Linked DNA regions of Danio rerio. The protein of the gene in region 3 interacts with the protein of the main gene of each other region in a biochemical or structural test. Links are inferred from orthologs where the notes say so. Each region holds a gene or a part of one and is shown on either strand. Other genes may lie near its edges.

Region 1 (6,316 bases), on a different chromosome or scaffold from region 3:
TATTGCAATACCATATTAAGATACCTTATAAAATCTTTTCATTATTATTATTAGTAATATATATTTTTTTAAATTATTGTGAGAGAATTATTTTTAGACTTTCTTTGGCACTCTTCTTTTATGCTGTGTTCACACCATAACACAGCATAAATCATTTGCGCATCAAATACACTCCACAACAGACGCAGGGCTTCTGTATGCCCTGTGACTCTAGCTTCGTTGCTAAATGGCTAACATAGAGTTTATGTGCTTTATGAAGGCTGAAAAACAGTGTCAATTCATTTGGAGCCATGTCTGAGTCCACTGGATCCTTTCAGAGGTGCTCCTAGCTCTATGAGTTCACTCCTCCAGAAATCTAACCTAGATAAAGGAAGCTTTTAGCTGTGCTTCTGACTGAACCTAGCCCAATTTGATAAACTGTTGTTGGTGTTGGCAGGAGGATTTTCTCCCAGGACACCAACAACAGGCACTATGTCATAATTACGCCTCCACAAGAGCAAGCTCCTGATTGGTTAACGCGGCTTGAATGTCTGTTGAAGTTCGGATTTTCGAACTTCATCGATTTGCACGAAAATCGCAATACACGCGCAGCAATTGCACAAGACACTCAACTTGTACAGATTCATTTGCGCGAATCATGCCATTCGGGCCACCTCATTCGCGTGTATTGCGCCACCTCATTCGCTTGTATCGCGCCACAGGATGTCTGATCATGTCTTTGCATTGACTTAACATGTAATGAACGCAGAATTAGAATGTTGTATATCAAGACAATTGTATTGAATTTTGATTAATTTTCTTCTTAAATCAAATAAGATACTGTAATCATACTATGGATAAATTGCTTTTATAATTCATTTATGAATACATTAATAAACTTGGACAAAATTAAAGTATAATCACACTGACCCAGTTTTAGAAACACAAATGACACATATCAAACCAACAATGGTGCCTTCTTTGACTAAAGTCTAGTTTTAACTAAAACTAATTTTACCTGAATTAGCCAGGGCTATAGCTTTAAGAGTGACAAACTCCTCCTTCTCCAGCTTCATGCTCTTGTACTTCTTCACCAGCTGAAGAATGGCATTATTCAGGTCGAGCAGACCCGCCAGTTTGGATTGATCCTCATCCATGATGTAGTCCTCAGCGTACACCAACTTGTCCTCAAAAGACAGTGAGCGGTAGACGACACGTAGGATCAGGATCTCCATCCACGCACTCTGCAGAAGACTCATCTGATCCGCCAGCGACAGTGTGGAAAAGCCTGAAAAATGACAAAGAAAGAGACCAACTCAACTCAATATCAGATCACTCCAATCAACATTTATCAGTGATAAAATACAAACTCAATTAGTGGTCAGAAGTTTTTGATTGTGTAGTAGATTTACATTTATAAGCAATCTTTTTGCTTATTTTTAAAAACTTTTTTCAACCCATCCTCCCCTAAAACATTATGCTCTTCAACTATACAAAATTTCAAACGAATCTCAATATAACAGAACATTGTATTATACTCATTTTAGCTCATTCAATTTTTATTTGTCACATACAGAGTCATACACAGTATGATATGCAGTGAAATGCTAACACAACCACTCCTGATGCTAAGACCATAAATATAATGGCTGTCTAGTGTACAATTTAGCATCTTTCCTTAAGAAATGAGATTGAATAAAATCTCAGTCCTAAAGAACAGAACGAGCAGCTTGAGAACATCATCAGTCTCAGTGCTGCAGGTGGAAATGCAGAGGAACTTTAGAAATATAAACACCTAAATAAGGTGTGCTGGTGTTTTTAATGGGGGTAATCCGAGACTCTTTCAGTTAAAAAAGAACTGAAATAATGTTGGTAAATTGAGTATACTGTACAAATAATGGATGGATTGTAATTTGTAACTCTAAGAGAAACACAAATTACCTTTGGGTTACAAGTCCAACTCACTTACAATTACGCCACAACTTCTCCCTTTAGGTAAACAAAGTGGCAGAAAAAAGTTGTTGCTATCAAACATTGTTTACTTCCCTATGTTAATTTAGTGGTGAAGGGGTTGATGCAAAAGACCTGTTGACGAACGGTTTGCAAAGAAATGTCATTTTACAAAAATACAGCATTTTATTTTGATACATTTATTGCTGCTGTATTTTGTTTAGTTTGATGAACTTAAAATGTATGTATTTTATTTTTTTTATTTTAAAATAAATTTCAACAATAACAAAAATAATAACAATAAAATTCTAAACATAAGAATATAAAATAAAGCAATAACAATAAGAATCTAAAGCATTCCCCCTTAAATATCTTGCCATAACTCAGTTAGTTTAAGTTCAGCTTTATACAGTCAGATTTTGAGTTCACTTAACTGTTCAGTCTTACAGTTACCAATGCCAGAGTAAGAGCTTTGTTCAACTAAAAGTTAAACGTTCAGCCTTGAATGTAAAGTGAAATGAAAAATAAAGGAAAAAAGCTCAGTTGGTTAGTTTGGAAGCATTGAGAAAAGCCAGAAACAGAGCTTTGTTCAACTCAATGATGAAATTCAACATTCAGCAGTGATGCATACAGTAAAAGCTCGATTGGTTGTCAGAAGTGTGCGTCTGCATAAGTAAGAAAGTATTGAATAAAGAGCCAGAAAAAAGCTTTGTTCAACTCAATGAGGAACGTTCAGCTTCAAATCAACATTCAGCGGCGATACATAAAAGCTCAATTGGTTGTCAGAAGTTTGCGGTTGCGTTAGTAAAGAAGCATTGACATTCTGGAGGTGTAATGGAAAGGAAAACTCCAGCGGGAGTGAACTGAGGGCCCTCGCACGAGCCTTGGCTCTCATCTGCTGGCGCGCTGCAGGCCAGGGGGCATCCTGAGGGAGGGCACTCCTTATCTCCCCCAACATGCAGCATGGATCAATTCTTCCCATCACACCAACTGAAAGACTAATTGCTTGCCTCAAACTCCATCTCCTTCCTCCTCCCCCAACTCTGCACACACTTTTCTCCGCTTTTTCTGTGTTTTTTTTCTGGAAATTGTTGAAGTTCATGTTTGTGAATTTCGTTTGAAGCTGACTATCATGGGGCTTTTGTCTGTCTAAAACATGGTTCTAGGTATGAGGAACATACTTAATAGTGAAGTACCAGGTGATGCTTCCTAGTATTGCCATCTTAAAAATAAAGGCGCCAGCAAGAAACCTTTTTGGTACCCCAAAAAAACATTTTAGAGAAATGTTACCAATTTCATACATGTTAATGATCAAAGTATTGATACTTTTATTATTATTAAATGATGATACTTTTTTCACTATAAAGTAGCTTTTGTGGATTTAAAAGGTTCTATCGTTGTTGAAGGTTTATCACACTTCGAGTCTAAGTCATTAGATTTTAAGTATCTGCTGATACCAAAACCCGATCCGATAGTTCTATAATACATAAAAAAATTAAAGAGGAGGGAAAAAACAGATCCAGGATGTTCCTTATTTTAACATTCAATATGTTAACAAACAGAGCAGTTCTGTGTGGTAGCTTGAACAGTCAAGTAAGATAATAACATCAATTCTTTACTTTTGCACTTTAGTGCACTAGTAAATGTAAAAATATGAATAAATAGCACCTTAACTTAAAATACCCGACAGGCAATCTCAAGTTTACATGCCTCATAGTTTGCTATGTTAATGTTGTCTTCATCAACTTCATAATACCTCCAGACCGCAGACATACACGTGCTTTCCCGCTTCGAGCTGCGTCTTTGCAAAAAAATGATGTCATTCCACACGCATTACTGTTTCTGTGTGAACTCAAAAAATAGGTCTAACTCTGTGCCACTGCATATATATGTGCTACTATATATATTTGAGTCCTAATTGGGAGGTAACGTCTGATTATGATTGAGTCTAAAATTAAGTGATCGAGCTCAATTTTTGATCCTGTGATCGGATCTGGACATCCCTGTTAATTACAATAAAATTTGTTTTTTAAATAATACATTTTATGAATATTAATAATAGAAAATATGAGAAATTTTGAGAAAATTAACAACCTAACTTTCTAAATTCCCTTTAGGTAAAATAAAAAGTAAATTATAAACAACATGAATATATATATATATAGATTTTTTTGTCATAAACATTATTATAATTTGAATGAACACATAAATAGGTAAAAAAAAACTGAATTAATTTAAATCAATTTACATTTTTTTGAAACATTTTATTTATGCACAAGACAAAAAAAAAAAAGCAAGCACTCTTCGAAACTAAAGCTGACTGAAAGCATGAAAGCAGTCTTATGACAGAAAGCAGTTTTATGTATAAACCGCATAAATGCATTGGAGCTCTCCATCAGATCTGAAGGTGAAAACAGGCACAACAGCACCTGTTGGTATTGGACCTTTTCGTCTCATCTCAGCGGTTCTGCTCTTCCCACAACAGATGAAGCGTCTCTGTTTGCGACAGTACGGGGGCTAATCTGAGTGGCGGGGGAATGAGACGAAAGAGCTGCTCACCAACATCTGTTGTGCAGAAATGCCTTCAGAGAAAGACAGCAATTCTGCTCATTTCTTTTATTTTGAAATCTCTTTTTTTTTGCCAGTTAATCACTAATGGCAAGGAGCTCATTAGGTATAGGTTTGGGGCTATTGTTTATACCAACTGCTAATTTATTATCCCAAACTGTTAACATCTCTGATCTCATTAGAGGCAGACTAAGAGCTGGTGAGCAGTTGGTGCCTCTCCTGGCCTGCTGGTGCAAGTGTGCCCAATGCCAGTTGGCAGGGCCATCTTCTACTACTTAATAAAATCATCAAAAGGGATTAAGCCAAGAATTTCTTAAGGGGGTCTAATGCAAGACTGCGGCATTCTTGCAAACAAACTGGCCTCAATGAAAGGTGGCATGGGCTAAAAATAAGATCAGATCCTCACGGCCTCCTTAGAGGTAAGTGTAATCCCTTATTAATGTTGATCATTTGGAAAAATATCCACTGACATACTTCGGATCACTGCAGATACGAAAGGGAATATTCATTTACATGATAAATAAATATGATTTTGACAGTACATTGCATTGCTATTGTATAATTTATTGCATTTGTAAGTGGCATTTTTGTAAAAGTTTATTCTCAGCTTTTTTGTTTGATTTGGTAAGCTCATTTGACTAAAGATCTTTCCACCAAAGCATTTTTCCTTTTTTTTCAGTTTTCAATGTAAGTACCACACTTTTTAAAATAATGGTCACAGAATGTTGAAGAATGTTCACCTTTTATTAAAATGCAGCATTCATCAATTGTCATTTTAGCCAGCCATCCAATCACATTGGTGGAGGGACAGGATGAATAGACAGACCATTTCAATGTGGTCATGTCACTGGCCAAGGAACATTCCCTGCTTGTTATCAAACTATTTCATAACTGTAACAATTCAATCATAACTAAATGCTTAAACAGCTATCATACTGTTAATGTTATTACGATATGTGTCTCATTTTGGATTCTAAGAATCTATAGAAATTTAAAATGCAAAACAGGAAATACGTTGGGACCATTGTTTTCTTTACATCCCTCAAAATGGTCTATTCCAAACCAACCGTCACTACAGTAAAGATATAGTTCACCCAAAAATGAAAAAAAAATTGTGTTCAAACAGGTTCAGAAAAAATAAAGAGTGTGTAAATGATGACAGAATTTAGTTTTAGCAGAACTATCCCTTTAAGCAAAAAATAAATAAATAAAAATTATATATATATATATATATATATATATATATATTTTTTTTTTTTTTTTTTTTTTTTTTACTGCTGCAGTCACTGACTGTTTAGTTCTGTAAAATGTTTTAATGTATAAAAATAAAGTTAAAAAAAGAGAATATTAATATTGCTCTACTGTACATTGTGCAAGATTTTTTGTCATAAACAAATGATTGCTGAAATCACATAAATTTTGTTAAAGTCACCAATAACATCTCACTCTACAAAAAAAAAAAAATGCTCGCTCCAAAATTCTATTAATGCAAGCAAACACGCTGATTTAAGCAATGTGCAGAAGAATGTCTGAAATATAAGAGAAAACCAATAAATCAATATTATAGTTAATGCATACAAAATCTATATTTCATAGTAAACTCATTTATGCCAAGTTTACTGTTGCTCAGATTTGGATGTAGGGTCCTTAAAAAGCATTTATTGTCCCCTGCAGACAGCATTATTGACCACTACAAGTACAGTACAGGTACTTCACAAATAAATGTGTTGCTGCTCTGACCACATCAACACCGGATCAACCAATGGAAGACAAGAATAATGCTTTCGGTTGGTGACATCACAAAACAGTAGAAACAAAT
Region 2 (6,316 bases), on a different chromosome or scaffold from region 3:
TATTTGTTGATATAGATATGTAATACATACATTGATATAGATATGTATACATATATATATTACACAGTTGATGTTTACATACACTGTATAAAAAGACACATAACCATTTTAAAAAGTCAGTTGTTATTGTGTGACTAAACTTTTTCTCTTTTAGGTAAGTTTGTATTATCAAATTTGTCTCTGTTATGCTTAATAGCAGAATAATGAGAGAGAACTTCTCTTGAAAGTCAAGTTTACATACAATAAGATTAGTATGCCTCTGACAAAGCTCAGATGATGTTGTCAAGGTTTTGGAAGTTTCTGCTTGGCTAAATGCCAATATTTGAGTTAACTGGAGGCACAACTGTAGAATAGTATTTTAGGAAAACATAGGAACATAGGAAAATTAACTAGCCAGAATCAACAAATTACAATTTGCTAAATTACACTGGGAAAAAGAATAATTTTTGGAGACATGTCCTGCTGTCTAATGGAACTAATATTGAACTGTTTGGCCATAATGACCAGTGTTACATTTGGAGGAAAAAGGGGAAAGCTTACAAGCCTAGGAACACCATCCCAACTGTGAAGTATGGGGGTGGCAGCATCTTGTTGTGGGGCTGTTTTGCTGCAGGAGGGACTGGTCCACTTCACAGCAAAGATGGCATCATAAAGAAAGAGCATTATGTAGAAATACTGAAGCAACATATCAAGACATCAGCCAGGAAATTAAAACTTGGCCACAAATGGGTCTTCCAAACAAACCATGACCCTAAGCATACTGCCAAATTAGCTAAAATGTGCTTTAAGTACAACAGAGTGAATGTTTTGGAGTGGCCATATATATATATAAAATACATAAATTGGCAGTTTTCCGTATTGTGATTTCTGTTTCAATTTTTCATTTTTCTGAGTTTATTTATGCTTTTGAATTGCTTTATGTCATCTTAATCTTCCAATAATTTTTCACCTTGAAAAGCTGAGTGAGTGACTTTAATTAACATTTGTAATAGTTTAAAGTGATGTATTGTTTGGGTTGGTATTGTATATTACGCAACAAAAACCTTGTAATAAACTGCCCGTATTCTCTGGACAGATTTCTTATACATTATATTATTTCAAACTACTGAAATGTCGATATAAGTCACGTAGTTAAACTGTAGAGTTGAACTTGCAACTTTAGATCAAGGTCCCATAATAAAATTCGCAACCATAAACCAAAAACACTTGTGAATCACACAATACGGTTAATTAACAGATATTGTTACAGTGAACTGTCAAAAATATTTTAACTAAACCAAATTCATATTGCTGCAATTTAAAACATATGTATGCTTCATTATCTTGCTTTTCTTCTTCTCAGCCTTGTGCTCTTTTCTTCCCTCTATAAAGTTGAAAGGAAGCTCTGTTCTGCCTTATGCTCACTGTAATTTTCCTCACCCAGTGTGCTCTGAAACCCATTTATCAGACATACACTTACAGTCATTTTCCCCAGTTTTCCTCACCCGAACTGCAGTTAGAGTCGGCAGCTGTTCCCTGCTCCAGCAGAGAGCTCATCAGGAGCCTGTGTGTCAGAGTCCAGCTCAAAACATCTCACCAAACCCACCCAGACCCGCACCCTTGATGCACAATACACTACTGCTAATAAGGTGCAGACAGAGACAGCTGTGTTCTGTCATTGTGTATGTCCCAGATGTAGCGCACATGAGATTTTGATTTTCACCTCATTCTAGCAGCTTTTAAAGGGAGGATAGTAGGGAGCGTGTGAGGATGATTACCTACTGGACACATTCACACATTCACATTTGGAAGCACAAAGGCTTGACTTGAAAATTATAGTATTACTACTTTATTTTCCATCCCTCGAAAAATGGCACTGAATGAAACTAACTGTGATTGGTTGCTTTACATGGCCATTAGATAGCAGAGAAGTTGTAGTTTTGAATTGGGTGAAGCTAGTTATGGGGATGTAAAGCCTAAATACTGGAATTCAATCCATAAATGCAAGAGACTTTTATTGAGCAAATGTGTTTCTAGTCCACATGAAATCAGAATCTACTCAGCTTATTATGCTAGTGCACATTGTTTGTCGACCAATTAATCCACAAAAAAAGGTTTGATCTGGTAATCTTTAATTAAAATCTAACAGTACGGTAATCTGAGTGTGTCAAATAAGAACAGGTTGAGTAGCCTGGTGGTAAAGGTGGCAGGCAAGATCTTCGGTTTTAACCAAACTGGTTCAATGGTAATTTACCATAATTGTGTTGTAAAGAGAGCGCAGGGTATCCTATGCACCCTGGATCACCCATTGTACTCTGTGTTTCAGCTGCTGCCATCAGGACATCGTTTTAGAGTTCCTATTTGCAAGACAAATAAAACTAGAAATTATTTTATAATTGCGGCCATTAGGTCATTAAATGAGTCCAGGGGGGAGGGAGATGCACCTACAAAATGATGTACACTGTAAGAAAAAAAATTATAATTTTACAGAAAATATCTCAATTTTTTTACAGTAGTTTTTTGTCATTTAAAATTATATTCAAAGTCAGTAAAATGACAAACAATCTCTCTACTTTATTTTAGGTACTTTATCATTAAAATTACTGACATTTTAGTGTTTTTTTATACAGGGAAAGTACTGTATTATTTATAGAGAATTTTAATGTTATTTTAAATTATATTCAAAACTCCGTAAAAATTACAAACAATATCTGTTAATTAACAGCCTGACTGTTATTTTATGTATAATATAATTAATGACAAATTACAGCAATTTGACTGTTTTTATACAGTAAAATCGCAGTATTATTTACAGTGTTTTTTCCCGTTTTTTTTTTCATATAAAAGAATGTAAAATTAAAGTAATATATTGTAATTAGTTGCACTTTTAAAATGAAAATTGTAAAAAAAAAAAAAAAAAGATAAATAAAAAAAAGTCAAATGACTGGCAGCTATGGCTGCCAAACAAAATCCATAAAATTATGTTAAAATTTCTTTGTTGAAAAAAAGTACAAAAATAATAAATCAAGAATGAAATTGTAGACTTGTATAGGGCTAAACGCTAAGGATTTTTAAAAATGGCACAGATAAAATTTTTGTTTTTACTTGCCTGATCAAAATTCTAATTCTAATTAGTTATTTCTTAGCCACATATTTTAAAAAAATGTTTCAAAACAAGCAGACCCTAGTTGTAAACATACAAAAAAAAAAAAAAAACGCTTTGAAAAAAAAACCTTTAATAAACTAAATGTATGCACAACAAGCTGTTATAATATTAATTACAATAACCAGAGCAATTTCAGTAGGGCCCAGGCACCATAGGATATGTGTTGAATTGACTGGGTAGCTTTACACAAACAAAGTAAATTAAGACCCATTTAAAATGATTTAAGACCTACCAGACAATATTTAAGGGCCTGAGATTAGTTTTTGAAATTTAAGACATAACTTTATTGGACCCTGTGGACACCATGGAAACATGAGAGGAGCATAACATAAAACAACATATATAGGAAACATAAAAGTTTAATAACTGTTTAAAGATTACTGTGATATCAGACAATTTACTCAGTTTGCACTGTTACCTGCTACACACACACACACACACACACACACACACACACACACACACACACACACACACACACACACACACATATATATATATAATAGAAAAGCATGCATATTTAGATGCAAGACATTGTGTAAGTGTTGGTCCTTGATTTTGATTAGCTGAGCAGCACTCTAACAGCACAAAGAGGTGATTCAAACAGCACAAATTTTTGCATTTCATTTCACTGCATTGTTTTTATGTGAACATGCAATAGCAAATCCATCGATGAATTGCCGTTTTGACTTTTTTCTGTGTACATGCAATAGCAAATCATAGCATCATCCAGTCTTGTGTCTTGGCAGCATTTTGCAGTGTAATTAGACAGAGTTACAAAAACACAAAACTCAGGTTTAACTTTTGAAAAATGTCCTATGTTTAGGTATTTTGGTCATAGTCATGGAAAAATTTAGGTGATGTTTTCTTACATGGTTATACCAATATTGGCTGTTTATGGGGTTTGATTTATGTTTAATGTAAATATTTAGTTTTTTTTTTTTAAGCATACAAATAAAATACTTTTTAAAACAAAACCCCCACCACCAATGTAAAATTCATGATATCTACTTTTGATTTGTATTGTATGAGCAAGATGAAACGTGCAATCTATTGTTGTGAATAAACTGTCAAACCCAAAAAGTTAAGGTAACATTTGCAGAAGTTTGCGTAAACCGATTCCAACAAACAATTTAAGTTTCAAAGCTAATCCTTCCTCCATTTAAGTTAAAGAAATGAAGTATTTATTTAACTCATTACTTTCAACACTGAGTTCAAAACTCTTTTCAAATGCGTAGAATTACCTTTCAGTATGTTTTAAGTCAGCTACAGTCATTTCATTTGATAAAGTTGACTGTTGGGTTTTACAGTGTATTAACAAAGCTGTGATTTGTTTTTGTTTTTTATTTGCAGCCGCGTCACATCCCTGCTGATATTCAGAACAACAAGACTGCATGTAAAACAGGCTGGTCACCTTGAATGCTTCTCTTGAAGAAAGCTTTGCATCCCTCACACGACCAGACTCCGTAATGATATCCAGAGGCGTAGTCACTGCACACCGCACAGAAGCGAGTCTCTTTCCCTGAATCAAAGCCTCCAGCCGCTCTGGATCCAGTGTACAACTCCTGCCTGTCAGTGGCACTGCACAGCTCCTCACACAGGCCCACGGCTGCCTGCTGAGAGGACACCACACTGGACCTGCACAAAAACAGAGGTGAACAGTCAATACACTAGATGTTACACTTCATATAAATAATTATTAAAGCAATAGTATTTAAAGTCTATATGAACATGAGGAGGGTGGCGTTTTATTTTAGCACTCCTCCTAGTCATCTCTCACATCTCAAACTAGATTATAATTGTAAATCAGGTTATAAATAAGAGGAAATAAGCATGCGCAAAAAATAGTAACAGCGTTCGCATGGGTTTCCTCCGGGTGCTCTGGTTTCCCCCACAGTCCAAAGACATGCAGTACAGGTGAATTGGGTTGGCTACATTGTCCATAGTATATGAGTGTGTGTGGATGTTTCCCAAAGATGGGTTGCGGCTGGAAGGGTATCCGCTGCGTAAAAACATGCTGGACAAGTTGGCGGTTCATTCCGCTGTGGCAACCCCGGATTAATAAAGGGACTAAGCTGACAAGAAAATGAATGAATGAATAAAAAAAATTGTGAAAAGGGGTCATTTGATAATGTGTTATTTATTTTAATTAAGTTTAAATTTCATCACGAAAAGGGCCATAAACATAAAATGCTAATGTTAACTTGTAATCATTTTCATCCTTTTAAAAAGTAAATTCTAAAATAAAGATCACATTTAACAGGGTTAAACTAGATTTTGAATGTAAAAAATAGGAAATAAGCATGCACAAAATATAGTGAAAAGGGGTCATCTGATAACCATTATGGAAGCATACACCCTAGAGTATATGGACAATTCAGTTCTAGAAAATCAGAAGAGTTTTCAAAAGTAAAATTGGCAGCGTGCATTGAGAATATGTACGTGACTGCAAACAGGGGGCAAGTGTGACTATCTCCATTTCCTTTTGACCCTTTGTTCCAGTGTTTGTAAATATTTATTATGTCTTAATTCTGATGTCCAGCAGATTGATTGCATGATCTCAGAAATGTTCTAAAGTGTCACCAAATGACAAATGACGTTTCCAAGCAGTCTTGCCTTTAAAAAAGAAGACTAGTTTTATTCAGACAACATGCTTTGGTTATAATGCTGTCTTCAATATTTGCTGTCCCTTGATCTCACTCAGTTCGTCTGAACGTGAAAAATGTTCTCCGTTGTGTTCAGACAGAACTAATTGTACTTTTCTCAAGGTCTAAAGACAGAGTTTGATGAGAGGCTTTACGCTTCTTTCAAAGACTGGTGTACTTCAGTCCCCATGTTGCACTCAAGTGTTTACTGTCCTAACCTCTTTTCCGAGAAATCAAGATCTACTCTAATCAAGAGCACTAATATTTAACAGCACAAACATAAAGCATAAACTAACAACAAGTAAAATAAAGTGTAATGTTCTGCAGAACATCAAACACACATCCACATAGAGACGCATTTATATTTTTTGTTAGTTTATGTGCTAAGCATAAATAAGTACACCACATTTTGAAAATTAATATTTTCATCCATTTCTCAGTGGATATAATCAATGTATTTTGGTGCATTTGGAACAAAACAGATTTATTAAACAGATATATTTATTAAAATAATATTTAAATTATA
Region 3 (7,017 bases):
TTTGTGTAAAAGACCTCGAGCTGCTGGATTTCATCATTTATTTCTCCTCATGTTGTTCTAACCCTGGAAAAAAGTTGAGTATTCTGAGAGTCTGATCAGACTTGCAGTTAATGCAAACCATTAAGCAATTAATCTTTGGTTAGTTAAATGTGTAGTGAAGTAATGAAACTCAAATTAATTTATGTTGACATGTTCAATTCAAGTATGGCTTCCAGAGTCATTTTTGTGCTACTTTAAACATAATTCTAAATTACATATAATATTTGTTTTAATTATGGAAAAGTTTATTTAATTATTTAAAATTATTTTTATTTCTAAACAATGTATATTCTTATTTTTTTCCATTTCTTTGCATTGATTTTCACTGAATATTTCTATTATATTTTTATTTCTAAATGACATATAACTTTTTTTAATTATGCAAAAGTTTAGTTTATTTTCCTTTGACTTCATAGCATTTTTTGCATCGCTTTGCATTGAATAAAGTGTACAAAATATTATGCATTTTTAATACATGTATTTATTCATTTAGTTATTAGGAATAGTACTTAAATATTGTTTAATTTTCCATACATTAGTATATTTCATTTCACTCCATTAGTACATTAAAGTCTTATTTGTGTCCAATTTTCTCCATCTGCAGACGTGCCGGGTCGGAAGGCGTCTGTTTGTGGAGGGTCTTCAGTATCAAAAGTCAAAGTCAGCTTTATTGTCAATTCCACCACATGTACAGGACATATAGAGAATCGAAATGACGTTACTCTCAGACCCTAGGTGCCTAACATATAACGTTAATACAAAAAGTAGAGTTTTAAGAAAGAATTTACAATAAATACAATTATACATAAAATGTAATCTAAATATATTCCTAAAATTTAGTCTAAATATATACATAAACTGTAGTCTAAAGAATAATTAAAAAAAGAAAGAATAAAAATTGTAATCAATACAATAATATACAAAAGCATTAAGGGCATATGGCGATGAGTGCAAACCAGAGTTGTGCAGATAGAGCCGTATATAGTGCAAAAAGGCTTGTAAACATAAGATAAAGTGACAGTATCAGGATATATAGGGAGGTAGTCCCTATATGAGGCTCAGAAGGGCCCTAAAGGAGGTTCTAGTTCCTCTTTATCCGCAGGATGGGGACATTTCGTATCTAAAGATTAGTACCACTTAAAATTATATTAAAAAATTGTATATATAATTTTCTTTTATTACAAATATTTCCCAAATGATGTTGAACAGATTCAGGAATTTTTCACAGCATTTCCTCTAATATTTTTTCTTCTGGAGAAAGTCTTATTTGATTTATTTCAGCAAGAATAAAAGCAGTTTTAAATTTTTTTAAAACCCATTTTAAAATTCAACATTATTAGCCCCCTTAAGCAAAATTTGTTTTGGATTGTCTCGAGAACAAACCACTGTTATACAATGACTTGCCTAATAGGGTTGTGGCGATACCAATAAATCATGTTATGATACTAAACCAGCTAAAGTGTCGTGATACCAAGTAGTATTGAGATACTGTAATTCATAACTCAAATCCATGAAATAAAGCAAACTGTCAGAAATACTATATTTTATATGTTATAAGCCTACTTGAATTGAAATAATGATTTCCTTAATATTGAAAAGTATTTGCACGTCACTTCACCTGAAATGTATTCGTCTTTTGTTTATTTTGTAGATAACTGACCAACAATAAATACATTAAAATACAGATACAAATGATACCAAATTAAACTTACATTAATAGTAAAATTAGCATTTTTCCAACCAAATTAGGCTTCATGAAGTGGTCAAATTCAGTTTTAATGTTTCCAGTATCTTTTTTTTTCCAGTCTCATAAGGTGATTAAAAATTTCACCTTGTGAGTCACTTTTTTTAAGAGATTGGTCGCAGTTGTTGTAGCTACTAAATCATACTGACAGCAGCAGAAATAAATTGATTCAGACTCAATCTGAAGCGTCAGAAAACGTGCAATAGGCTCCCAAAAAATGAGTGAATTCTACACGGTTTTACAAACTTGCAAACATGCTCCACAGCACAGACTATTCAAATAAGGTGGTCTATTGTTGCACAAACCTGTGAGGTTTTTAGAAACCACATGCAACATTATGTATTGTAGATAGACCGTTAATGACGATGCTAACATTGACAAACTACAGTGGCATTGCCAGTATTTTGGAGCCGTATCACGATACTACCATAATAGTATCGGTAAACCGTGCAACCCTATTCCCCAATTTCCCTAACTTTAGCCTAGTGAAGCCTTTAAATGTCACTTTAAGAGAAAATAAATCAGTTATTAGAGATTACTTATTAACACTATTATGATTAGAAATGCGAACATTATATATATATATATATATTTTTTTTTTTTTTCCTCAATTTCTGTGTAACGGAGAGCAGATATTTTCAACACATCTCTAATCATAATAGTGTTAATAATTCATCTCTAATAACTGATTTATTTCCTCTTTGTCATGATGACAGTAAATAATATTAGACTAGATATTCTTCAAGACACTTCTATACAGCTTAAAGTGACATTTAAAGGCTTCACTAGGGTAATTAGGGTAACTAGGCAAGTTATTGTATAATGATGCTTTATTCTGGAGACTATTGAGAAACAAAATATAGTTTATAGGGGCTAATAATATTGACTATAAAATGGTTTTAAATAAGTTAAAAACTGCTTTTATTCTAGCTGAAATAAATCAAATAAGACTTTCTCCAGAAGAACAAATATTATCAGACATACTGTGAACATTTCCTGAATCTGTTCAACATCATTTGGGAAAAATGTAAAATAGAAAAAAAGCAAAGGGGCGCTAATAATTCTTTATTATTGGTTAATTATATCAAATACATTAACTAGCACAACCTTATTGCAATATGTGACCTAAGAAAAGGAGATAAATACAGCTCTGGGCCTGTCTGAACTATGATAATCTCCTCTATCAGGTCATCGACCTCCTCCTCCTCCTCCTCCTTGGCTTGGAGCTGTTTGTAGGTTTATAGGTTCTATTATGATTATAGGCTCACGGGTTGCTCTGTAATGATAGTATCATATAATGGACTAGTCCTTGGTCGCTTGGTACGGCCTGGTGTAATAATGCCTCCTCAGAGATAATAATAAACCCGGCCTACAGTGGCTCTCAGCTTATCACAGATCAGTTGTTTAGTTCACAGCAGAGGCAGAGGTCAAAGTTCAACCGCTCTGTATGTGTGTGTGTGTGTTGTATAAATAAGAGCCAGATGTGAATGTCTCACAGTCTGTAAGAGCTGGAGAAACACACACACACACACATCATTATCATCATCATGGACTGCGGATGTGATTGTGCAGATTTTGCGCAGCCGAATGCGATCCTGTTTAATATTCTCAGCCGTGGAGAGTTCAGCTATAAGCGTGTTCCTCAGACGTGTCACTGTGAGAAGCGCAGACGAGTGTGTTTGCAGACGCCGAGTGAGACGTGTGCGCTGGCGTCAGACGTGCTGGTGAAGACGGTGTATTTCATGAAGAATCTGCCGGCGTTTCAGCAGCTGCCGCCCAAAGACCAGCTGAAGCTCCTGCAGAACTGCTGGACGCCGCTCTTCATCCTCGGCCTGGCGCAGGACAGGGTGCACTTCCAGGTAAATAAGTTGTTATTTGAGAGATTTAAACTCTTAACTCTTGTGTTGGGTCATTTTTATCCACTCTGGGCTGATTTTGAGTCTTAATTTGGCCTCAACTTTCTCTGTGTTTCAGCAAATGTGATGATTTTTGCTGACAAATCTTATTTTGACACATATTTTGGGAAAATGCTTTTAAAATCTCAACAACACACTGTTCAGATAGACTTCCCTTTGGTTATGTTGGGGGCTGTTTTTGCCCGATTGACATTCATTGTAGTCACATTTTATGATTGCAAAGCCATGACAGCATATAATCATGCATTCTTGATTGTTGCTGGTTTTCCCTGTTGGGAAGAGGGACAATCTGTCATATAGAATGCATAAATAAACAAATATACTAATTAGCTTAATTACCTTATTGTAAAATATAGACACATTATATATATATATATATATATATATATATATATATATATATATATATATATATACATATATATATATATATATATATATATATATATATATATATATATATATATATACATATATATATATATATATATATATATATATATATATATATATATATATATATATATATATATATATAATGTGTCTATATTTTATATGTAAATATAAACGTTTTGTCAAATATATGCATGCATGTGTGCTTATATATATATACATATATATATATATATATATATATATATATATATATATATATATATATATATATATATATATATATATATATATATATTGTTTCTACTGGTAAATGCATTACCTAACATTATCTAATGCAGCCTCATAGTAAAATGTTACTGTATATTGTGAATGTTCATTGTCACAACCTATTTTGCATAGTTAGTTTGTTGATGCTAACAAATGCATTAAATAACATTAACTAATGCAACCTTATTGGACAGCATTTTCGTATATTGTTATATTGTGCATGTTCATTATCATGATATATTGAGTTATTGAACATGTTCCAAAGTTTATTAGTTAGTAAATGCATCAACTATCTTTAACTAATGCAACCTTATTGTAGAGTGTTTTCGTATATTGTTATATTGTGCATGTTCATTTTGATGATATATTGATTTATTGAAATATTCCAGGTGGACGAGAGCGCGGCTCCCAGCATGCTGAAGCGGATCCTGCTGAGCGGGCAGGAGAGCGCAGGTGCGGACTCTGAACAGCCCACACTGGCTGGAGTGCAGACGCTCAAATCCTGCATCAACAAGTTCTGGAGTCTGGATCTGAGCCCCAAGGAGTACGCCTACCTGAAGGGCACGGTCATATTCAATCCAGGTGGGATGCACAGACACTGTAATGATGCATAATATATATTCTTTTAATTATGGAAAGATTTAATTTTATTTATTTATTTATTTTTTTTGCATTGTTTTGCATTGAACATTCCTGTTAAATGATATATAAAATATTTGTTTTAATTATGGAAAAGTTATTTTATTTTCATTTATTTCTACGTTAAATATTTTTATTCTATTTTTTCCTTGATATATATATATATATATATATATATATATATATATATATATATATATATATATATGTATATATATATATATATATATATATATATATATATATATATATATATATATATATATATATATATATATATATTATTTGTTTGCTTTGCTTTGCATTGAATATTTCTATTTCATTTTTATTTCTAAATGATGTATAACATATTTTTGTAATTTTTAAATTTTTTAATTTAGTTTTTGCATTGCTTTGCATTGAATATTTCTACTCTATTTTTAATTCTAAATTATGTATAATATTTATTTTTTTCATTTGTTTGCATTGCAATGCATTGAATATTTCTATTTTATTTTTATTTTTAAATGATCTATAATAAATTTTGTAATTTTGCAATTTTATTTTATTGATTTTTATTTTTCGCATTGCTTTTCCACTGAATATTTCTATTCTATTTCTATTTTTAAATGATGTATAATATATATTTTTAATTATGGAATTTTATTTATTTGTACTTTATTTTATTATTTATTTTCCCTTGGCTTTGCATTGAATATTCCCATTATATTTTCATTTCTAAATGATATAGATAGAATATATACTTTTAATTATGTAAAAGTTTAGTTTATCAAGTTATATTTTATTTCATTGCATTATGTATTGGATAAAGTGTCCAAAAATATTATGTCATTTTAATTCTGTATTTATTTATTTGTTTAGCTATTATGAACAGTACTATTATATTGTCTTTTATATTATATTATATTATATTATATTATATTATATTATATTATATTATATTATATTATATTATATTATATTTCTTTTCACTCCATTAGAATATTAAAGTCTTCTTTGCATCTGATTTTCTCCATCTGCAGATGTGCCGGATCTGAAGGCGTCTCTGTTTGTGGAAGGTCTTCAGTATGAGGCTCAGCAGGCCCTGAAGGAGGTTCTGGTTCCTCTTTATCCCCAGGATGGAGGACGTTTTGCTCGAATCCTCCTCACTGCATCCACATTAAAAAGCATCACGCCGAGTCTGATCACAGAGTTGTTCTTTCGGCCCGTCATCGGAGATGCTCAAATCCTGGATCTGCTCGCAGACATGCTCTTCAGCCGATAGACAGCCGAGAGCCGTGCTGCAAGGTTATTATAGTCTACCTTTTTAAAATTAGATTTCTTTTATTTTTATTTTGAAGTGCTTATATTTGATCCCTTTTACAAGATGTAAGATCAGCCTGTCTTCAGAATGTGCTTTCAGCTCAAAATACCCATCAGATCATTTAATACACCATGCAGAAGATGTGAATTCTGGGGTCAGAGGAAAGTGTAGCTGTTTATGTAGCCTGTGCCTTTAAATGCAAATGAGCTTCTCCCCCGCAACAAAATCTGATTGGATGTGATTGAGATTAACTTTGATCACATTAATGCATCTCTGCTAAATGGATATGATTTTGATCTTGTGCTATATGCAAATGTAACTAGGTTACATCAACTAAAGCATCAGATACACAGCATTTGAATTATTTAATATTATTATTGACAGAAGCGTGAGCTATAAATGCATAAAAAAATGCATGAAGTGACCAGGTGAGAGCAGCCCCTTAGTGAAACAAATCAAATCATATTTTAAACAAACACTAAACACTAAATCTTAATGTGTAAAAGTAAAATCTATGAGGAAATCAGACAAACTTGTTTATAAAAGACACGTATATGCAGGTAAACATGCTTAGTTTGTCATGTTTGTCAGATGAAGAAAAGATAGATCAGATGTTTTTCTGTTTTTTGTTTATAATGCTGATCTTCACTGATGTGTTTGGCGCCATCTACTGGTGATTCTCTAAACAGCATAGAACATTCATTCATTTTCTT
Region 4 (7,034 bases), on a different chromosome or scaffold from region 3:
CAAGGATTCTTACAGCCACACGGCTCACCTCCAATTCAGGGCAGTTTCGAGGAATTATATGATCATTGCCTGCAAGAATCATGGAAAAATGTAAGGTAAAACATTAGTTAAATTGTTTGAAGCCTCTACTCATATTCGCATGTGTCTTTTCTTACCTAATAGTAAAATGTCTTTATACATCATGGAGCGTTTGGCAGCTCCTAGTAGGAGGTGTTCTCCAGCGTGAGCTCGCAGTAAAGCCACCTGAGACAAATAAACATGGAAATATATTATTATTTTTTTACATTTTCTTTAGAGTTCTTTTCATGTCTAGAATATTTCATATAAAATCAATGAATTGTTTAAAGTCTCTATGATGACCATATGGTTAGTCTTAGCGTGTCTCCATGTGTGAGAAGATGCGGTTTGAGACGCTCTCACCCACAGCTAAAACACTGATAAGTTAGCATGCCTCAGTGCTCAGCGTGTTAATGATTCTGAATGTCTCAAGAAGAGATGTAACTTTCAAACCAGCTCATCATATTCTAACCTGAGCCATCCAAATACATTAACCACCCAAACTAGAGATCTCTGAACTTTTTTTCCAATGAAAACAAAACACGGATTCAGTCGACACCAACATGCATTTAAGTAAATATTGCAAGGACACATTTGTAGATAAATAAGAGGAACTTGTCCTACCTGATCATCCAGCGGGAGGTCGCAGAATGCAGGGATGTATTTTGCCCATTCCACCAGCACCAGCAGCTGCTGTTTCATAGACTCACACACATCCATTATTGCGGCTACCTTTTTTGTTCTGATATCACCATTCAAGATTGGACCCGGTGATGAAATCTATATGAGGGTATATACTTTATAAGTATTTTGCTATACATCTCTTAAACATAAACATTACTACTAAATCTTATTATTATTACTTATAAACAGTGCATAACAATATTATTAGACCACTAACATATTTATGAGACCACCACAGCTGCTCAAAATTTTTACTTTCTTTAATGAATATAATAATAATGGGGAGATTCAAAAAGAATACCACAACTTTGAAAATTTAATCAAAGAAACATGATGGAACTTCGTATAATCAATCCATGTGATGAGTACTTAACAACGTTTTTTTTTTCAGTAGAAAACAAGTTCATAGATGTTCAATATGACCCCCTTCAGACACTCGTGACATCAACCTGTTATTCGAACTCATTCCACACTCTCTTTAGCATCTCGGGCATAACAGATTGGATAGCTGCAGTTATTTCTTCTTTTAGTTCCTCAATGTTAGCTAGTAGAGGTGGTAAACCATATTTTTAACGTACCCTATTGAAAAAAACTGAGGGGGTGAGGTCAGGGCTTCTTGGAGGCCAGTGATGAAGTGCTCTGTCACAGGCTGCCTGGCGGCCGATCTATTGCTTTGGGTACCTTTCATTCAAATAGGCAACCTAATAAAACTCCAGAGCTTCCTTAAATCAACAACAGAAGCTTTCATTTTCTTCATTGTTGAGTTCTCGATTTTCAAAGTTGTGGTATTCTTTTTTTAATCACCATGTTCCTTCATTTGTATATTGCATCTTTCAATTTAATTCCAATAACTTAATGATTAATTCACCCGTGTGTGGACAATCACATACACAGTATATCTAATTTTGAAATATAATATTGTTATCTGTGAATTTTCAAAATGAATGTTTCACAAGAAAGGCTGAAAAAATAAGTAAATTGTTTTATTTTTTGTAACCAGCTGCCCAGTTACAGTTATTTACTTGCAGTCCTTAATAAAAAAAGGTTTTAATGTTTAATTAATTCACAGTACTGAGAGAATTCTGGATATAAAAATACAAATTCATTAAGACTTTCTTTTTTGCCTAATAAATGACAATACAAATTATTTTATATATGAATGAATAGTAATAATTTTTATCTATAAACATAGAATGTACAAGTCATATAATAAAGTAGAATTGATATAGCACCACCCAGCAGAACTGCAGATGTATTGACTGTTTCCGAACAGGTTTCCTAAACAAATCCCTCGTCTACCATTGATCAGATAGTCCTGCCCCAAACTAGCATCATTGGTTAGATCAATGTTGCTATGTAGTTCTGATTGGGATGCTTAAACAAACAAAGCAATGTTTTGATAACACTGCAGTGTTTACACTTTTTCAAAGCAACCAACCTTCAGATGTCTTGTTTAAAGTTTATAGGTTTTACCAGGATTTGCTTATTGTGTACTTTGATTTGATTCACACTACTTACTTGTCTAGAAAGAACGTCAGCCTGAATGAGTGCGTTTATGGAGGGTAAGCTGCTGTCCTCATAGCTGGATCTTCTGGTGCTAATCCTGTCTCGTTCATTCTGCACAGCTGAGGATGAGATAACTACTTTTAATCAACAAATTATTAAAATAAGAAACACTTTTTTTGGATGTTGTACTTTAAAAAAAAAAAAAAACCCAACTCTGGTTAAACCATTGAAACATTTTCTTTCGTTATCAGTAGCAGCAAATGCCACCCAGTTCTGACAACCAATTGAGATAGCGGAGATGGGGAATATTAGCTGACTTTGTGAGAGGGGGGGTTGCGTCCGTCCTCAAGGTTGCACTTTTTTATCAGTGTGCAGTTATGATGGCTCTAAACTGTTTGTTCAGCATAAACCAGACATAGACTTCAGTGCATTGTTGAGTGAACATTAACAAAATGTCTCTCGCTAACTCTCTCTCTCTCTCTCTATGCTGTTGCAACATCTCCTATTTGCGCCACCTCATCCCCTAACCTCCCAAACAAGCCAAGAGAGTTTTAGTTTTTAGCTAGTTTTATGTGAATGTAATCTAACAACATGTGCAAGTACCTTCTTTTTTCATGCCAGCTCGAAAACATTTCTTTAGTCTGCAGTACCGACACTGATTTCTCTTGTCTTTGTCCACTATGCACTGTCTGTTGAACCTGTGAGGAAACATAAAGACATAGTTAGATGCATTGGATGGAAACTATTGCAGATTTTTGATCATAATTTAGAGAATATTTAATTTTCTCTAACCTGCATGAGTACATGTGGTTTTTGCGTACACTGCGTCTGAAGAACCCCTTGCATCCATCACAGCTTGAGGCCCCGTAGTGCTTTCCTGTGGCCCGGTCCCCACAAATGGCACATAGAGTGCCGGCCCCTAAGTGGTTGGCAGCATTCATGTTGGCACTTTCTTGTGGTGAGGAGTCTGCAATCATAGGGGATTTTGAATTTAGTCAAAAGTGTGCTAAATTGATTTAGTTTTATTCATGCAACAAAAATAGTCAGAGAATGAAGAGGCACTTAAAATAATAGGATAAGTGATTGCATAAAATTTGTCTTTTTTCAATGACGCTTAAAAATGTGGGTTGCAGACCTAACAAGTCAGAATTATTCCAGACCTATCAGAGTTAAATCAAATAGGGGAAAGGTCATGGGGTGAGAAATTCTTTTAGAAAATACATTTTTACAGCTCAATCAATTTGCAGTGAATCGTCATCACAAACATGTGCTGGAAAGGAGTGTTTGCTTAGTAATCCAGAAAAGATTAGAACTAAATCTGTACAAAAGCTACAACAAGATCATGCTAGATTATAGAAACTCTAATTAGCATTCTTGATGACCTACAAAACAATTTCAACCTGAAATGTTACTCATGTATATGTAAATAATATATTTGTTTTTAATGAAACTGACTTTCTATGAATGATTGATTATTCCATAAACAACAGGACATCAATTTGTTGAAGAAAAAGATCTGATTGGATTTAATGCTGATGACAGAAACCATTTAAACATTCATCATTTTTAAGAAAACGATTCTTGTTAATTTTGATGCTGGAGGCAGTCAGAGTAATCACATTAAAACCTAAGCAATGATCAAAGGCAAACCTTAAATGGCTCATCAGTTTGAGTGATTATGTAGTGATCATCTAAATCATCATCTGATTTGTCACATTAGGTGTTTGTGGTTATGGTTGTGACAAAAAATGTTTAAATATAAAAATTATAATCTGTGATCAATATATTTCATTGCAATTTATTAAATAATAATTAAAATAATTTGAATGTACTCTACTGTATAACAATTCTCCTCAGCGGTTTCCATTTTAGCTGTGAGTTATTAAAAAAATCTCAAATGTCAATCAAACTGAAATGTAAACATTTTTTAAACTGGACTCTTATTGCTTTACTTAAACTTTAAATATAACCTTACCATTCATATTAAATTACTTGTGTCAGGTTGACACCGGTTGAATATCAATTTGTTGCACAAAACTTAGACATGGGAGGATTGGCTGCGAAACATTTACATGACACCCTCTTCTTCTAGTAATCATTCATCCTGGTGTCAAACTTCTTCTTGAAATACTATCCAAACAAGTCATTTTATCCCAAGCCAGCTGTATGAGAACAAGCAAAAGGAAACGGATGAACCTCTTCTCCTTGTGAACTTCCATATCTGCAGGACGGAGCATGCAGTGCTGCTTATCTTCAACCAAAAAATTTATTTTCAATTGGCTTCTGCTATATTGGCTTTTCCATGCAAGAGGTTACGAACTTGCCAATTGGCAATCACTATAACCCTATCAACCCTGCCTCCCACGCTTGACCATATACCATTTAGAAGCCCATATAAAGTCTCTAAAGGTCTCAAAGTTCACTCCGAATGACTCACCTGTGCTCATCGCAAGCACTTGCATGTTTTCAAACTCCAGCGTGGTGTAGGCTGGATCCAAGGCCTCGCTATAGTCTGCCATCTCCATGTCTACTAGTGGTTTGGACAAACGCATTCTCATCTACCTGATGCTGGGGGGAAAGACTTGTCCTCTCTAGAGCGTTTGGACACCCCCTCATAGGCCAGGCCCCTCCTCTTGAAGGGGTAGACACCTCTGAGTGACAGGGGCCATGTCCTCAAGGGCAAAGATGAGGCTCGCTGTGATTGACAGTCTAGGGCCTCCTCCTCTCCAGTGGGATGGACTTTATGTTAATCATTAAAATGCTAAATCAGAGTTGTTGTTTTGCTTTTTTTTTTGGAAATGGAGACAAATAGGGAAAGTTACTGTTTTATTTTTTTGTGCCTGTGTCTTAAATTCATGACTTAAAAATATAGACCAATTACTAAACTTTTTGACAGTTTTTCACTTCAAACTAAAATTTGCTATCACTTGTTCAGTCTTGGACTGTAAATATATCCATAATTTACCAGTTTTCTGTATTTTGTGATGTTTTTCCCCAATTATTTATACTTGCAGTAATGGGATTCATTGCATCATGGGACCATGAGCTTCTGATAATGACTTTTGATAATGAAAAGTAAAAAAAAAAAAGTTGTTTGAAAAGTTGAAAAAGTTGTTTTTTACATCAAAAGTGTACAGAGTAGAGATCACAGTACCATAATGCAACTCATAACCATAATTAAAGAGAAAAAAATAGAATCATGAAATACAGAACATACTAATTAACAGACTTTTTTTTACAGTGTATGTTGTTACAAACCCATAAGACCCCAGCAGACACACAACATCTTAAGACATTAATATTAGGTTAGATTTAGGTCGCCAGTGTCTTTGGACTGTGTTTTTTTGATGTCCAATAATGATGTGAAATGACGTTGATATTTTGTTGATTTTAGGTTGTGTTGGAAAGTGACCAAAATCCAACGTTGAGCCAACATCTTAAACCAACGTCATATTAAAGTCAATTACTGACATTTATTTGTCAGGTATGGCAACCAAAATCCAACGTCAGATAAATGTCATAGTGGTAACGTCCACACAACGTCAAGCTGCAACATCATTAGACATTGATATTTTGTTGTTTTTAGATTGTGTTGGAAAATGCAACGTTGATAATGATAACCAAAGTTGACGTCAGAACCCAGTCAGGCCAATGTTTATGTCCAACGTAGGACAGACTTTTAGCTCTGGCATCAACCCGATTTTCATTTCCAATCAAAATGCAACGTCCCACAATGTTGGGATGCAACGTCAATCTGACATCATGTTGATGTCCTGTGGCTGCTCGGACTGTTGCTCTTTTTTTTCAGAAACAAATTAAGATATTTTTAATTAAATGGGAGAGATTTTAGTCATTTTCTTCCCAAATACTTTAGAACGTTCTTAAATAAATTTCGTAAATAATTCGTAAATAAATCCATATCTTTTGAAGAGACATGATCATTATGTGATGAACAGATTTAGGGCTCTATTTTGACGATCAAGGCGCAAAGACCAAAGCACAGGGTGCAAAAGCATTAATGGCGTATCCGAATCCACTTTTACTATTTTAACGACTGGAAAATCCGCTCTGCACCGTGACGCATGGTCTAACAGGGTTCTCTTAATGAGTTATAGATGTGTTTTGAGAATAAACCAATCAGAGACCCATCTCCCATTCCCTTTAAGAGTCAGTTGCATCACGCCATAGTGCATTTGTAATTTACATGGCGGACTTTGTTATTGGAAAAACTGAACTCTTCACTAGAGAGAAAACAGGTAAACAGAGCATCTGCACCTTGCGCCACATTGCGTTGGGTGTATGATAGGGCCCTTAGTATTTTCTCGAAGTACATCCAGATTTCGTTCATAATACACTTATTTATACGTTATAGAACTTCTTTTTTTTTTCTTTTTTTTTTTTTTTGCTGTTGTGAAGTAAGGAGAGTGTGATTTTAGATGCAGCCAAGCTATTCATTATATAAAAAATAATGTCTGGAGACTGGAGATTGATACCTTGATTTTTATGGATTAATGTTTTTAACTATTCAAGAAATGTTTTGAAGTATGAGAGATGTGGGTGTTTGGGACAGAAATCTCAAAAATGTCCTCAGTTGTGTTACAAAGGTTAATTAATGTCTTACACATTTAAAACAATTTACAGTTGAAGTCAAAATTCTTATCTATTTTGTAAAATTTGAGTTCTTTTTAAAATATTCCATGTGATGTTTAACAGAGAAAAGACTTTTTTCAACACATTTGTCAACATATTAGTTTAATAACTAACTTCTGTTGTTTTTGCCATTATGA
Region 5 (6,756 bases), on a different chromosome or scaffold from region 3:
TTAGGACTTTGTATTTTTGTTTTTAATGACATTTGAGAAATAATCAGTTTTTTACCGCACAATTAATGTGATTTCAAAAATGTTACGAAAACATTTGACAATAATGTAAATGCTAATGCAGGTTAATATTAGAATTAAATTTCTTGGAAATGAAATGTATATATATTTAGTGTCTTAATGCAAATGTAAAAAGATGCACTAGTGGCAATCGTGAATTATGGTACACTAAAAAAAAAATATTTCTGCAAAATTGTTGCAAACGATTTATGTGTTGAATTTCAAAACATTTTGTGATGTTCAGCTTAATTTGTTTGCTTAAATTCAGCCCAAAAAAATATTTACAACCACTTAAAAAATAATAGTAAATCCAAGGAATTATCTTTGACTCACGTTTCAGTGTAGAGCAGTTTAGTAAAAATATATTTTATTAATTTGAGCAGTTTAGGTCTTTTTTAGTATTCATTTATATAAATGAGTTACAATCCATATGATTTACTCACTTTATCACTCTGGCTGTTTAAACTACCTTTGCTTTAAACGGGCTGTTGACAGTATTCGGGATTAAAACTCACTGAAATCTTGAACAATGACTCCCTCAAGTGGTCACATCATAAAACTACGGTTTATTTCGCTTAGAGGCCAGTGAATCCTGTATTTTAGGGTAGGTTTGGGTTAGTATCTGCACATGGGTCAAAGATGAGACATTCCCCAAAATATACAAACGTGATTTTAAATGTAGCCTACAAAAAAATATATATAGAATATACAGAACTCAAGTGTCTAGTTGTTTTAAATGACTTGTGTAAAAATAAAATGTCAAAATAATGGTAACAATGTTCCGTTCTGTAAAAATTCAACAACATATTCTGATGCTTCAAATAAAAGAACAGTCATTATATTATATTTTATAAAATTATATTATATTTAGCTATGTTATATTATATTTGGTTATATTATGTTATATTTTATTATATTATATTAGGCTTTGATATGTTATATTAGGCTATATTTTATTTTATTATATTATAATTGGCTATAATATATTATTTTGTGTTTTATTATATTATATTATATTATATTATATTAGGCTATATTATATTATTTTATTACATTATACTATATTATATTTTATCTTAATACATTTTAAATTATTTAAAAAAACTTCTTGCTGATAAAATGTGTAAAATATTGCTTGACAGATTGTAGCAAAGTATACACATTTAAAATAATAATAATGAAATATTAAATAATTAAATAATGAAGTATTCCTAGTATTTGAAGCCCCATTGGGTTCATTTAACAGTCCGTGTATACAGTTCATATGGCATCAAATTAAATTATCCTTGGTCTAAAAAGGCTGTATATGTAAAAAATTTTAAAAACTGTTTATTCTTTAAATAATGATATAAAATATGTCATATTATTATAACGGTTACTTTATTTATTATTAATTTATTGCTCAGAAATAATTAAATAATTCACATTAAATGGAAGTATTACATTACTACACTTATTTATTATTTTTTTTGCTTGAAAATCGTCTTCGACTCACATTAAATCAAACAAAAATCATTTAAATATACAACTTAACAACATGAATAAAAAACAAGGAGTTTTTCTTCTTCCTGTAGTTTTTCATCTTGTTCCCCAGAATACATGATAATCATACAAATGATCATTTAAATATTTTACTAAGGAGGCTTTTAAAGTTTAAAATTGTTAGGGTTGGGTGGTCTTTAAAGATTTGGACCAAGCTGGTAGCATTCCCCCTATGACTAAACCAATCAGAAGCCGTGAAGTTATTATTTCTTATGGGAGTCAAACTTCGGCTCAAACGAGCAATTTAATTGTAAAAAATTAAATGTATATTATACATTAAATATTTAATTTAACATTTAAATTATAATTAATGTAAATATACAATGTAATACATCACACTTGGTTTTACATCGAAAACTAAAAGCATTTTCCTCTTTGTAGCAAACAGTAACATGCTGCTTACACAACACATGCATTTGCTATGGATGTAATTTTCCCAATAATATCGAAACATAAAACAAAGCGTCTTTCTAAAAGATACGCGCGGACACAAAAAAGTATGAATAAAGCCCATTCTGTGCGTTGTGTGTGAACGCGAGAGCATATAGAAGAGTTTGTCCCTAAACGCCCTGGCGGACAGACGAAAGTTCCAGCACGTTCGTCGTTGTGTGAAGTGAAAGTTATGTATCCGCCAGCCTCCACCCCCAAATATATCACTAAATGATAGACGTGTTCTTCAGCCAATCACACGACAGAGGCGACTGCATTTCCTGCTCTCTCAGCCAATCAGAAATAAGAAAACACTAAAAAACGCGGACTTCAACTTGTCAGCAAAACAGAAGGGGGAGGGGATCAACATATGGCAGTCATATTTCTGAAGCTGAAATAATGTGCTAGACCTTTTATTGTGTTGTTTACCTCGCAGAAGGTAATTAGGTTTAAATACTCTTTGCTTGGACATTTATACTAATGTATATATGTCAGCGGGCAGCATTTTGGGCATTTTACTGATAAAATGTGGTAAGCTAGCATGCTAACATAACTGTACAGACGGTTAGCGAGCTGTTATATCAGACGGGGGGCTAAATAAGCTTGCTTGCTATTAACTTTGACAGCATAAAAGCAGGCGAGTAAATGACTCGTCTATGAATGCAAGAAAAATACCTTCGTAATCCAACGAAACAGAAAAGCTGCTGTGAATGTGCGTTGGTGGCGCGCTGTGATGGGAAGGTCCCAGAAAGTTTGAGATTTCAGGAAACTGCAATGGCGTGAGGGGAGACAGTCATGACAGCAGGTCGAGGAAGCCATGATCCGATCACAGCAACTCTCTCCAAATAACACCCCGCTATCACTGCATTGCTTCTTTTTAAAATAGGCCTTTTGCGTGTGATATCACCGTTAACAGCGACTCTTCCTAATTAGGCTCTATTTAAAGTTTTAGTCATCATGCTCTGAACACTAAACATAGGCCTGCACGAATGCATTTGTACATTCAACAGCAGAATAACGTTAGTTGTTTATTCAGGTCTTTAGCCTGGGCTGATCTGCGTGAATGAACTCTTGTTGGTTCATAGAGACGCGAATAATTACTGTAATTTTAAATAAGGTCTGTAATTAAATGTTAGAGGGCATTTTCTTGATAAAAGTGTGTTATTATCTTACCCTCTGCAATGTTTTACTCTTTACTGTCATACTGGTGGCTTGTGATTCTGTATTTTCATTCCAGAAGTGCCGCTTGAGGGGCGTGTCTGAGCACAGCGCGGGTTATAGTTATGCAAATAACCCTGTCAAAGTTTTGGTCTACCGTGTTGTCTTTTACTTCATAGTAGAAACAACAATAAAGCAGTGCTAGGAAACAATGCAACTTATTAAGTCAAAATCACTCAATTTAATGTATGTTTCCTTTATCTGAGTGGGTGAGGTCATAATAGGCTAATAATAATAATAGTAATAATAATAATTACTATAGTAATGATGATGATGCACTCACATGGGAGTCAAATGTTTATCTAATAATTATTAATGCTAATTTATATATAAGATAGTTTTACAGAGCAAATTAATTGCTTGTTTTTTTCAGCAAGCAACATGCTTAAGAAACTTATGCAAAGTAATATGAAACAATGCAATGTTAGGAGTAAAATATTTAACAATAGCTTAAAATAATTGATAATTGTTCTAAATTATTTGAAGCAGGGGGAAATTTGTTTTTAAAAAAAATCTGGACCCTGAACTATCAAAAATGTATTGCACACATTTCAGTATTATGACAGAACTTGGTTTCAGGTTATTTATATATAATGATGCAAGAAGTCACAGCAGAGTGTAATGCAGTTTCTTCTGGCGTGTTGCTTTTTATTTTAAAAGAGAACAATGCATATTTCTATGTATTAAAACAAGTTATACATGTCGGATTATTTCTGAATAGGTAATATTTATTAATAATAAATATAATCTTAAATGCATTTTAGTTTATTAATGTTTGTGCTCCTATAACTTGCATTTATATGAAGTTTTATGATCAATTTACAGTGAACCTTTTCATAAGATGCATTTGGCTTGAAAATGCTGTCATTTGGGGTGCCAAGCAATGTAGTGCAGGCATGACAAAAACCCAATAGACCCATCTTTTTTCTTCTTCTTCATATTTTCTTATTTCTTCATATTGTCAGTTCATGGGTAAAATAAAGTTTGTGGCAATTTTAATCTGATGATACTGTAACTTCTGATGTTTACCTAATACCTTATAACCACAGACGTAATTTTACTCAAATATTGAAGAATACGGTAGGAAAGGCTTCATTTATATTATCTTTAAACTTTTGTCAATTCCTCTCACAGCTTCTCAGCTGATAGATGGCCACCCCCAATGAGCCACCTGTTGGGATGTCCCATGCTGGTCCCTCACCGGGTGCTGGCCTGTCTCCGGGCCCCATCCTAGGACCGAGCCCTGGACCTGGTCCTTCTCCTGGCTCTGTACACAGCATGATGGGCCCCAGTCCAGGACCTCCGAGTGTCCCACATACAATGCAGGGCCAAGGAGCAGGAGAATACTCACAAGAAATGCACCCAATGCATAAGGTAGAAGAAAATTCAAAACGATTCAACCAGTTGCTTCTCTAAATGATTCGCCTTTTTGAAGCATTCAAAACAGAAATGATTGAGCGTATGCCTAATTATTGAACATTTTGTATTGAACTGAAACTAATATGAATCTGTCTGCCTGTCGTTAAATAAGAAAGCTGCCAAAACAACTGAACTGCTGAAAAATAATATTATCATTATAAGCATTACTTTTAAATGATCAGATCTTTTTTGTATACCTAACACTCTTAATAATTTACTTATGGTTTGAGATGTATATTGTTTTATTTCTTTTGTTTTATTTTTTATTTTTTATATTAAATATTAGTTTTTCTTTGATGTATTGATTTTATTTCTTATCCTTTATGACATTTATGTAACTAGCTGTACAATGAATATGTATCATTTGTTTTCAGGTCACACAATATTAGTACAAATTAATGTTTTCTGTATCCTGTTATTAATATTAATAATAAAAAACTAAAATAAATATAAAAAGCATTGAAAACAGCGCATGTTAGCGGCACCTAGTGGTCAAAACTATGTAAATGCAACAAAAACTCAGCCAAAAAAAAAAAAAAAAATGAATGCAATTGACCTTATTCTCCGCAGACGAGTGGGCGCTGCCATTTGAATCTTTTTGGCACGAGACTTCCGGTCTCATTCACTTGCATTCATTTTTAGACATTAAAAACTGCTCGTTTCGCTGTTTAATGTTGCAAACTGATATTTCCTTGTTGTATTATTCTACTTGGTCTGTATAGTCATGCAAACATTTGTTTGTAGAGCAAGTAGTTTGACCGTTTTTTGCCGTTTATTATTCCTTGTCATTTTTCCCATAGGCGACTGAAACGGAAGTTCTAAGACAATCGCGAAAACAGGCGCACTTCCGCATTTTAGAATAAGGTCAATAGAATGAGTGGGATCTGGCTGCAGAATCAGTGCAGATGCAATCTTAGTTGCATGTAATGCTTTTAAATGGGCTCACCTAACCCCACACCTAACCCTATCCATCAAAGCATCACTAGCTCTATTGAGCGCATTGTGTCTGACATTGCATCTCACAACTTGCATCATACAAGCTGCATTGTTTCTTTGTTCTGCTTGTTGTGAACTTTAAATTGAAATTATAACCTATAAATGCACATAGCTCACAATCTAATGTCCCTAAATAGTCCCACTTTATATTAGGTGGCCTTCACTACTATGTGATTGCATCATAAAATAAATATACAATGCACTTACTGTGTTAATAATACATTGCAGAACACTTCTGGTGCACTTGAGGTGATACGGGTTGGGATAATCACTGGTTTGGTGTTATGAATAGGTTTATGGGTGACTTCAGGTGTAAGGGATGGTCAACAGTGTAACTGCAGAAATTGATTACATGCAAGTATTTAATCAATCTTGAGCAAAATGCAAAAACATGTATTTAAACCATAAGTACATTGTAAAAAATGCTTAATTTCAGTGTACGTATATATTAGTTGACTAAGCTCTGCATACCCAGTACCGGGTTCGGGATGTCATTTACTTTATCGCAATCTTTAAATTTTTAAGGTCCGTACTTGCCAAATACCCCCATAAGTGGTTCCGTTCCATCATCAGTTGAAATAAAACAACTTTTACATTGATTATGATAGATAAATTTTTTTTCCCTGATTACTGACATGTGCAGGAACCACCAAAATTAATTACAGCAACCAAGACCACACAGAACCTAAAAGGTACACTTACAAATTTGAGTTTACAAAAAATAAAATAGAGGTTTATTATTATTTGAGGGGTTTATAATAACACTGGCAATACATACAATTATTTTAATAACTTTCAACAGTGTTTAATGAATATTCAAAGGGTTTTCTTTAAAATGAAAAGAAGCTTTTGCAATTACATCTCTGCATGTGGATTTGAGAAACTTTTGAATTTGGGCAGGCGAAATCCAGGTGGAAACCAAAAATAGCACCTGACTTTAAGTTAAGGCCACTTAATATAAAGTGGGACCCATTTAATTATAAGTGTCAGCGTAATATGCATTCTTTTATACATTTTCAAGGTGTATATATTGTTGTTTAATGGTGGGCTCTACTAAACTAAAAGATACTTTGAACAACTATTAGCTATTCTTCC

What was found.
Region 1: the proteins of nr0b2a (region 3) and esrrga form a complex in vitro, tested with the Homo sapiens proteins (2 studies listed by BioGRID). The link is inferred for Danio rerio from reciprocal best matches to the Homo sapiens genes NR0B2 and ESRRG.
Region 2: the proteins of nr0b2a (region 3) and esr1 form a complex in vitro, tested with the Homo sapiens proteins (2 studies listed by BioGRID). The link is inferred for Danio rerio from reciprocal best matches to the Homo sapiens genes NR0B2 and ESR1.
Region 4: the proteins of nr0b2a (region 3) and hnf4a form a complex in vitro, tested with the Homo sapiens proteins (4 studies listed by BioGRID). The link is inferred for Danio rerio from reciprocal best matches to the Homo sapiens genes NR0B2 and HNF4A.
Region 5: the proteins of nr0b2a (region 3) and smarca2 form a complex in vitro, tested with the Homo sapiens proteins (2 studies listed by BioGRID). The link is inferred for Danio rerio from reciprocal best matches to the Homo sapiens genes NR0B2 and SMARCA2.

The regions. Positions count from the first base shown.
Region 1 is NC_133192.1:31,252,587-31,258,902, forward strand, and holds part of esrrga (estrogen-related receptor gamma a), read right to left. Parts: intron 1,268-6,316; coding exon 998-1,267; intron 1-997. UniProt on the Homo sapiens protein: Orphan receptor that acts as a transcription activator in the absence of bound ligand. Binds specifically to an estrogen response element and activates reporter genes controlled by estrogen response elements.
Region 2 is NC_133195.1:29,087,630-29,093,945, forward strand, and holds part of esr1 (estrogen receptor), read right to left. Parts: intron 4,784-6,316; coding exon 4,560-4,783; intron 1-4,559.
Region 3 is NC_133191.1:58,815,107-58,822,123, forward strand, and holds the start of nr0b2a (nuclear receptor subfamily 0 group B member 2a), read left to right. Parts: upstream 1-3,279; 5' UTR 3,280-3,330; coding exon 3,331-3,642; intron 3,643-4,751; coding exon 4,752-4,944; intron 4,945-6,023; coding exon 6,024-6,265; 3' UTR 6,266-7,017. UniProt on the Homo sapiens protein: Transcriptional regulator that acts as a negative regulator of receptor-dependent signaling pathways. Specifically inhibits transactivation of the nuclear receptor with which it interacts.
Region 4 is NC_133198.1:28,798,474-28,805,507, reverse strand, and holds the start of hnf4a (hepatocyte nuclear factor 4-alpha), read right to left. Parts: upstream 4,773-7,034; coding exon 4,685-4,772; intron 4,683-4,684; exon of another isoform or gene 4,230-4,682; coding exon of another isoform or gene 4,223-4,229; intron 3,215-4,222; coding exon 3,040-3,214; intron 2,946-3,039; coding exon 2,851-2,945; intron 2,382-2,850; coding exon of another isoform or gene 2,367-2,381; coding exon 2,260-2,366; intron 838-2,259; coding exon 682-837; intron 244-681; coding exon 156-243; intron 96-155; exon of another isoform or gene 70-95; coding exon 1-69. UniProt on the Homo sapiens protein: Transcriptional regulator which controls the expression of hepatic genes during the transition of endodermal cells to hepatic progenitor cells, facilitating the recruitment of RNA pol II to the promoters of target genes. Activates the transcription of CYP2C38.
Region 5 is NC_133180.1:46,019,015-46,025,770, forward strand, and holds the start of smarca2 (probable global transcription activator SNF2L2), read left to right. Parts: upstream 1-2,376; 5' UTR 2,377-2,559; intron 2,560-2,703; exon of another isoform or gene 2,704-2,783; intron 2,784-4,380; 5' UTR 4,381-4,395; coding exon 4,396-4,620; intron 4,621-6,756. UniProt on the Homo sapiens protein: ATPase involved in transcriptional activation and repression of select genes by chromatin remodeling (alteration of DNA-nucleosome topology).